Linked DNA regions of Saccharomyces cerevisiae S288C. The protein of the gene in region 1 binds, or shares a complex with, the protein of each later gene. Each region holds a gene or a part of one and is shown on either strand. Other genes may lie near its edges. The genes, in order: BMH1 and NTH1. A codon is read from its position in the direction of its gene.

Region 1 (3,442 bases):
ATGGTACGAACATGACCTATCCTGGTGGGAGTGCGAAGAACAGCTCCTAACCCGCGGACCAATTGTGATGGTTGGCGTTTGAATGAAGCAGCAAGCATTGGCACAAATGTGGTTTCCTTTCTTATTGCTGTATCCAACTTTTGTGAAGATACAGGTGCGACAAACATAAAAAAGTTCTTGCCGTTAAGAAGCTAAAGTTGCTTCTCGCTATACCAGAGGGGATTATTGTCGGGAGTCATGATGCGACATTTACCCGGTTGAGTAAGGAAGGGGTGGAGGAATCAGAAGAGAGATAAATAAACATACACGTCAAAACAGTATAGTTCAAGTAACACATATAGACATGTACACGCGCGATTACGTGTGTACATGCACATGTTAATGTTATATACATATATAGATATAGATATATAATTGCAATAATGAACTACAAATTATTACACCCCCGTTCTTTTTTTTTTCTTTTTTTTAGTAATTTCTCTTTAGATTTATCAGAATACTTACTTTGGTGCTTCACCTTCGGCGGCAGCAGGTGGCTGCTGTTGCTGATGTTGTTGTTGTTGTTGTTGGTCTTCAGCTTGACCGGACTCGGACATGTCTGAAGTCCATAAGGTTAAATTGTCCCTTAGCAGTTGCATGATAAGTGTGCTATCTTTGTATGATTCTTCAGACAGAGTGTCCAACTCAGCAATAGCGTCGTCAAAAGCTTGCTTGGCCAAATGGCAGGCTTTGTCTGGAGAGTTTTGAATTTCATAATAGAAGACAGAGAAGTTAAGAGCCAAACCTAGACGGATTGGGTGAGTTGGGGGTAACTCTGTGGTGGCAATTTCAGAAGCGGTCTTGTATGCTTCTAAAGAGGCGTTTGTGGCCTTTTCTCTAGCATCGCCACTAGAAAATTCAGCCAAATAACGGTGGTAGTCACCCTTCATCTTATAGTAGAAAACCTTGGACTCGCCAGTGGTGGCTGATGGAATTAAGTGGGAGTCTAGCACGGACAAAATATCGTCGGAGATCTTAGTTAGTTCGGTCTCAATCTTCGAACGGTACGAACAAATCAACTCGACCTGGTGTTCGGACTTCTCCTTGGACTCCTCCTTTTGCTCAATAGAAGAAACAATTCTCCAAGAGGCACGACGAGCACCAATAACGTTCTTATAAGCAACAGACAACAAATTACGCTCTTCGACCGACAACTCTTGGCCAGAGGAGGCAACAGTCTTCATGTTTTCGACCATTTCTTCATAACGTTCGGCCTGTTCAGCCAACTTGGCTAGGTACACAGAATCTTCACGACTGGTTGACATTTTTATCTTTAGTTTATCTTTAACTTGCTTTTTCTTCTCACTTGCTTGCGCTCTCAATTTTGAAAAGTAGGAAAAACTAAGTTATTTTTGCAGAAACTACACGGTTTTATGTTACGGTTCGTCTCGTTTTCAGGTTTAAGGTCCAATAATAAAGAGTTTCCTTTTCCTTTTTCCTTTTTGCTGCGCGTGGAAAAGCGTGTCTTTTTCTCATACCCCTGTTTTTTTGTTTTTTTTTTTATTTTTTTTGCTTTTCTTTGCTTTTTGCCTCGTCCCCCCGCGCCCCGGCCACAAAGAGGAAGCTATTTGCCACCGAGCTTCCTCTTTTGACTCCAGGCCGGAATAAAGTAGCTTCCGCAAAACTTCGCTCCACTTTCCAAAGAGGAAGCCCGTCACGTGGCTGCGCTGTCTCCCCCCCCCCCCCCCCTTTTTCCCCTGTGTTTTCGATCTACCGATTTTCTGTTCTATAACTACGTCCATTATCTATCTATATCTATCTATCTCTGCATTGCGCAATCAATACATAAACAGTGGATTTTCTTGCCGCCGCCTAGCCGGCTAGTAAGCTGTGAGATCAGTGAATATGACCTCTTGTTCCTCGAGGTAGGTAATGTAGTCTTTCCATAGGGGGTCTCCTTTTCTTAAGACATTCTTGTTGCCCACCACAATTAGTCCGTGCTTGGCTCTTGTCAATGCCACGTTTAACCTTCTTTTGTCACGTAAAAAGCCGATTTTGTTTTCGGTGTTATTTCTGACACATGAAAATATGATGAAAGATTTTTCGTGGCCTTGAAAGGAGTCTACGGTCGCGACGTGTAGGCCGTTGATGATGTTAATCACATTGTTTTGTAGACTGCCGGCGGTTCCTTGAGAACCAGCCGCGTTAAATAGCTCAATTTCATCGTATTCTTGTTGCATAGAAATCTGTTTGGGGTTGATAACTACGTTTTTGGTCAAGATGTCAGACAGCAGATCACGCTGTGCAGAATAGGGCGTTATGACACCAATTTCTTCCAGCGGAACCTTCTTGTCCAACATTAGTATTTGGATAATCTTCACGATTTCTACACATTCGTGTTTGTTTTCGTACGTAAACCCGACTATGTCTCTTTGCGTGCTTCTCACTCTGCTCTCGGGCCCCAAATCGCACTGATAAAAAAACAACGGATGCTGCACGCCAGGCCATGCCTTTTGTTCGTCCGTGACACCGTCCTTCAATTCACCATTGTATATTTTCTTAATGGGGAATTCGCTAATTTTTGGGTGCATTCTGTACTGCGTATCCAGCATTAGTGGGTTTTTGTACGTGCCATTAGATAGGACTCTTTCGAATAGTGAGGTTTCCAGTTGAGGGATGTTGCTGAAACTTGACAATTGCTTTTCGTCCCCAACGAAGACAAAATTTCTTATACCTGGTAACGAAAGTGGGACTAGTGTTGAAGCCTCTGATGATTGTGTAGCCTCATCCATTATTACCACGGGACATTCTTTTATAACCTTCAATTCACGACCACCTGCAGCAATGTTTGTCGTGAAAATTATTTGCGATTGAGATACGACCTTGTTGGTGACACGGTTTTTCTCTTTATAAAACTTCGTGTCCTCTGATTTGGAGATCATTTCGCCCCTGCGGGTTTTGTTTGCCACGACTTGCATGTCTGGGGAAAGATTTTTGTATACAATATTGTGGAGACAAATTTCGCCCAATGGGTGGTCATCACTATACTGTTGTTCTTTCTTCTTTGACAAAATTCTTAAGATCTTTATCTGCGGTCTATTCTCCATAATCTTCTCGGCAATGTTATCAATAGCAATATTTGACGCGGCAACACACAATATTGGGAATGCGTGAAATCTTTCAATTACTTGGATGATTATCTCCTCTATTGTTGATGTTTTACCTGTACCAGGTGGGCCTTGTAGAATTGTGATACTGTTGTTTAGAACATGTTCCACTGCAGTCTTCTGAGATCGGTTCAACTTGTCACTGGAAAATTTTAGCCTGTTATCAAAATAAATCTCTTTAATAGGCTTTTGGCCTAGTAATAGGTCAATAAATTTTGGGTTTGTAATACGCGTCATGGCAAATAGAATTCTACTTGTCTGCGCAGAAGTTGGCAATAGCTTAAATTGAGATGAAC
Region 2 (4,809 bases), on another chromosome or scaffold:
TCAGAATGTATGTCCATGATTCGCCGGGTAAATACATATAATACACAAATCTGGCTTAATAAAGTCTATAATATATCTCATAAAGAAGTGCTAAATTGGCTAGTGCTATATATTTTTAAGAAAATTTCTTTTGACTAAGTCCATATCGACTTTGTAAAAGTTCACATTAGCATACATATATTACACGAGCCAGAAATAGTAACTTTTGCCTAAATCACAAATTGCAAAATTTAATTGCTTGCAAAAGGTCACATGCTTATAATCAACTTTTTTAAAAATTTAAAATACTTTTTTATTTTTTATTTTTAAACATAAATGAAATAATTTATTTATTGTTTATGATTACCGAAACATAAAACCTGCTCAAGAAAAAGAAACTGTTTTGTCCTTGGAAAAAAAGCACTACCTAGGAGCGGCCAAAATGCCGAGGCTTTCATAGCTTAAACTCTTTACAGAAAATAGGCATTATAGATCAGTTCGAGTTTTCTTATTCTTCCTTCCGGTTTTATCGTCACAGTTTTACAGTAAATAAGTATCACCTCTTAGAGTTAACCTATACTAAAATTTATGCCAGTTAACTATGAGATAAGCAAGTATCATCTCATTTCATTACCTGAAGTCGAGTAAACAGAAAATCCAATTGTTGATGAACCTCAATGACTTAGAACTATCTATCGGCAGATCATATAAAGAGGATTTAGGTACCTAGAGGACTGTACCTGGAGTATATATATATATATATATATATTATCTCAACTATAGTCCATAGAGGTTTCTTTCTTGAGGCCTTAAACTGCTAAAGAATGATATTGGTGGAATGCAAGCACCAAGCGCTCTTCTTGCGTGACTGTTCATATACTTCAAACCAAGAATGTAACTGGCATTGACCCATCCAAAACCTTCAGTAGCTGCCCCTTTAAAGTCAGCACCTTGATTACCGTATTCTGCTTCAACACGATGAGGATCTGTTCCTCTTGTGACATCATATTTTTCAACCACAATACCATTATAATCGACAAAAGCCTTTGTCATCATGAAAAGCCATCTATAAGCTAGCCTATTCGTTACAGTTAAATAACCATAAGAACGGAGGCCTTCCCAAGCAAGAATTTGATGGGGTGCCCAACCAAATGGATAGTCCCATTGTCTAATTGGTCTCGAAATAGAAATTGGGCCTCGAGAACGCTCCGTACATGCAGCTAAACCTCCAAGCATCTCTAACTTGGGTAGTGCTTTCTCCACCATTTTCTGTGCTTGCTCCTTCGTGGCAAGTCCAGCCCATAATGCCCAGAATGTAGTTGCGGATTCGTATGACGTTCTGTGCTTGATTTTTGTGTTGTAGTCAAAGAAAAACCCCGACTCGTCATCCCACATATATTTGGTAATCTTTTCTTGTCTGATTTTGGCCATTTCTTTCCACATAGCTGAAGTTGTTATAGAATGGTCTAAAGGATCTTCATATTTGTCGTCGCAGAATTCCTTTATGAAGTCTGCAATATCAATCTCGTATTTGTAAAGAAGAGAATTCAGGTCAATAGTGGCCAGGTAGGCACATACGCCCTCAAACCTATATGTAGTGTCGTGTCCAGATTCTCTAACGCCACGGTCATGAAGAAAAAACTCATCCAATTTAGGCTCCTTTATCTTACCATCGTTATAAAGTTGCTTAAATTCGTCTAAGGTAACGCCGTGTTTCGATGCATATGGTAGTAAAACGGTATCGAAGTGATCACTTTCAGTTTCCGGAGGAATACCGAGACCGTTAGGATGGTACCTGGATAAGCCTGTTTCGGGATCAAGCCTTGGAGATGCGGTCCAAACAGTTTTGTACTCTTTTATGCTTGCTTGGAAAGCTCTTTTCAACAAATCCACAGCATCGGGATTACTCCTACCACCAAGTTTTTTGAATACTACCAAGGCCATTTCAGTCAAGAATGGGGGCTGTGATCTACATAGATAGTAGCTTCTGTTAGCATTCAATATTTTTCCATAGTGATTAATCTCAAAAATAAAATGCTCCACCATACCTCTTGCAACATCAGTCTTGTTGGCTTCTAGGAGACCTAGTGCCATCATATAGGAGTCCCAACCATATAATTCATTGAATCTACCACCAGGAACAGCATAAGGGTAACCAATGAGAGTTTTTTCACCAGTAGAAGGATTGAAGTGCTCTTCCATAGCCAATGCTAGTAAACCGGGGGTATCATTGACGGATTTGACGTATTCTGCCGTTATTTTTTTTGGTAAATATTCAACTTCTAATTTCAAAGATGGATGCATTTGAGAAGCTTGAACATAAAATTCGTATTGTTCTGGACAATCATAAGGAACATAGATTCTTGGATTTTTTGCCCCCGGCGTATCAATCTTGGTATCTTTTGCAATTTCGCCTACGTTGTTCAGATCAACTCTCCTGGTCAAAGAGTTCCAGAACTGTGTGTTTATCAATCTTGATAATCTGTTGACGGGATTTTCGTTTATACGAGCTTCATCTAAGAAAATTTGGTGTCTACCAAAACTTTTCGCAATAGTTAGTTCCTGCAACAAATTGGATAACATATACGTACCCCTAATATTAATATGCTTATAGCCATAGGAGTTTGCGGTACCGACTTTCAAAACTTTTGGACCGGTATCCTCGATGGTGATCTGATAATTTTTATCGGTATCCTCAGCAGCCAGTAGTTCATTAAGTGTTTTATCGACATCTTCGATAAAGAAACGACGATTACCTTGACTACTTGAATAGGTGTCATCCTCAGAACCACGTCTAGTCTGTTGAAGTTTACCAAAACCAGTTTTCTTGAAAGGAGATACATTATCGAAAACACTCATAGTCCTCGTACGGTTGATCTTAGCGGGCTTTGCCTGCTTCTGCTTTCTTGGGTCTGTTGGGGGGCCATAGTAGACTTCTGCGTTCGAAAATGGATCATTGAATTCACTTAGTGATGATAATCTTCTTTGACGGCCTTGGGCTACCGGTCCTTGGCTTGTATTAACTTGACTCATTCTACTGATTTTTTTTGTTAATTTTTCTTTTTTTGTTTATCAGGCGTTCTTGTATCTAGTAATCTCCTTATATCTATGCAGTTGGTTGTGAAATCAGTCAATATAAAACTATCTTCTTGATATTATATTTACTCTACGGAAAACGATAGGGGGAAAATTTCTAGCTAATGTTTTGCGATCTTTTCAGGCCAACAAATCTTGTACCTCGCTCCTGAAAAATCCCGTAAATCGGTGATCGCGCAAGTTTCATATTGATAACCTTGTGAACCAGTCTATATATAGCCTTATATAAGTACTGCTCTATCAAACTTAAGATTGGTGGCCTTCTTCGGTAACTAGGGGATAAGGGGCTTCGTCCTACACGATGCTCCTGTCGTTTCTTTTTTTCATTTCTTTTTTCGCCCAGCGGGAAGTACGCGGAAAACAAGAAACAAAAAAAAAATAAAAAAATAAAAAATAAAACAGAAACTAAAATCTGATGATGAAATTGATATTCAATTGGAGAAAGAAGAAAGATCTTGTTTAATTTGAAATAAAAGCAAGAAGATAAACACAACTATAGAAAAAGAATGTCTAGCGAAGATAAGAAACCTGTCGTCGACAAGAAGGAAGAGGCTGCTCCAAAGCCACCATCCTCTGCTGTCTTCTCCATGTTTGGTGGTAAGAAGGCCGAAAAGCCAGAAACCAAGAAAGACGAAGAAGATACCAAGGAGGAAACCAAGAAGGAAGGTGATGATGCTCCAGAATCACCAGATATCCATTTTGAACCAGTGGTTCACCTGGAAAAGGTAGATGTTAAGACAATGGAAGAAGACGAAGAAGTTCTTTACAAGGTCAGAGCCAAGCTTTTCAGATTCGATGCCGATGCCAAGGAATGGAAAGAAAGAGGTACTGGTGACTGTAAGTTCTTGAAGAACAAAAAGACTAACAAGGTTAGAATATTGATGAGAAGAGACAAGACCTTAAAGATTTGTGCTAACCACATCATTGCTCCAGAATACACTTTGAAGCCTAACGTTGGTTCTGATAGATCTTGGGTGTATGCTTGTACAGCAGATATTGCAGAAGGTGAAGCAGAAGCCTTCACTTTTGCTATCAGATTTGGCAGTAAGGAAAATGCTGATAAATTTAAAGAAGAATTTGAAAAAGCTCAAGAAATCAACAAAAAGGCTTAGTTTCGATGTGCTTGTTACTTGCGTCTAGATTTTTTTGTTCCTAATGTAATTTTCCTTTACAGCGTGCATATATATTTTTATCTACTGTGAGGAAAAGTTGCTCTTTAATTATATAAAAAACGCTTATGTAGCATTGTGAAATCACATATGAATAGATATGTAAGAAGGATTAGAGGGTTCAAGTAATTGTTGCAGTAGTCAATGTAGCCAAATGTCTAACCACTTTGGTGCATGGAGATTAGCTCAATAATCTCGTAGTATGTTTCCGGGTAATATTCTCTGTCTTATTTACCATCTTTATGTTTCCGCCCTTTTATTTTTGTTTTTCTCGCTACTCCTTTATAATTACTAATGAGAATCGAATACTATAGAAATTTTTGACGTAATAAAGGAGCAGTAAATTTGGAATACATTCCTTAGCTCGCTAGAAAGCTGAAGGAAATTTAGCTAAACAGAGAGTATAGTTTTGAAATGATTTTACGGGAGCAGATCGACTTCCTAATACATAAAAGACAGGATGATAATAATAACAATGGTGAAGCGATTACAGATGATGATCCATTTAGCTCTTCCTCATGGAGATGGGGAAGATGGATTTTTTTTATTTTTTTCATAGTTGCAC

The links.
Region 2: the proteins of BMH1 (region 1) and NTH1 are in contact, whole or in part, in a crystal structure (PDB 5N6N), measured with the Saccharomyces cerevisiae proteins. Residues at the interface, in NP_011104.3 of Saccharomyces cerevisiae: Gln17 (codon at 1,256), Glu19 (codon at 1,250), Asn44 (codon at 1,175), Val48 (codon at 1,163), Lys51 (codon at 1,154), Arg58 (codon at 1,133), Arg62 (codon at 1,121), Ile63 (codon at 1,118), Ser66 (codon at 1,109), Ile67 (codon at 1,106), Lys70 (codon at 1,097), Lys125 (codon at 932), Arg132 (codon at 911), Tyr133 (codon at 908), Gly174 (codon at 785), Leu177 (codon at 776), Asn178 (codon at 773), Val181 (codon at 764), Phe201 (codon at 704), Ile205 (codon at 692), Ala206 (codon at 689), Leu208 (codon at 683), Asp209 (codon at 680), Leu211 (codon at 674), Ser212 (codon at 671), Glu213 (codon at 668), Glu214 (codon at 665), Tyr216 (codon at 659), Lys217 (codon at 656), Asp218 (codon at 653); in NP_010284.1 of Saccharomyces cerevisiae: Phe73 (codon at 2,796), Gly74 (codon at 2,793), Lys75 (codon at 2,790), Leu76 (codon at 2,787), Thr79 (codon at 2,778), Arg80 (codon at 2,775), Arg81 (codon at 2,772), Gly82 (codon at 2,769), Ser83 (codon at 2,766), Glu84 (codon at 2,763), Asp85 (codon at 2,760), Thr87 (codon at 2,754), Tyr88 (codon at 2,751), Ser89 (codon at 2,748), Ser90 (codon at 2,745), Ser91 (codon at 2,742), Gln92 (codon at 2,739), Thr135 (codon at 2,610), Asn137 (codon at 2,604), Ser138 (codon at 2,601), Lys142 (codon at 2,589), Arg147 (codon at 2,574), Gly148 (codon at 2,571), Tyr150 (codon at 2,565), Met151 (codon at 2,562), Asn178 (codon at 2,481), Glu179 (codon at 2,478), Asn180 (codon at 2,475), Val666 (codon at 1,017), Asp667 (codon at 1,014).

The regions. Positions count from the first base shown.
Region 1 is NC_001137.3:543,473-546,914, reverse strand, and holds BMH1 (14-3-3 family protein BMH1), read right to left. Parts: upstream 1,305-3,442; coding exon 501-1,304; downstream 1-500. Other genes in the region: PDA1 (pyruvate dehydrogenase (acetyl-transferring) subunit E1 alpha), read right to left, coding at 1-98; ECM32 (RNA helicase), read right to left, coding at 1,860-3,442. UniProt on the Saccharomyces cerevisiae protein: Involved in growth regulation.
Region 2 is NC_001136.10:449,464-454,272, forward strand, and holds NTH1 (alpha,alpha-trehalase NTH1), read right to left. Parts: upstream 3,013-4,809; coding exon 757-3,012; downstream 1-756. Other genes in the region: Ran GTPase-binding protein YRB1, read left to right, coding at 3,582-4,187; RCR2 (Rcr2p), read left to right, coding at 4,659-4,809. UniProt on the Saccharomyces cerevisiae protein: Hydrolyzes intracellular trehalose to glucose. The disaccharide trehalose serves as a storage carbohydrate that is mobilized during nutrient stress. Regulates the level of trehalose as a protectant for cell integrity during heat stress.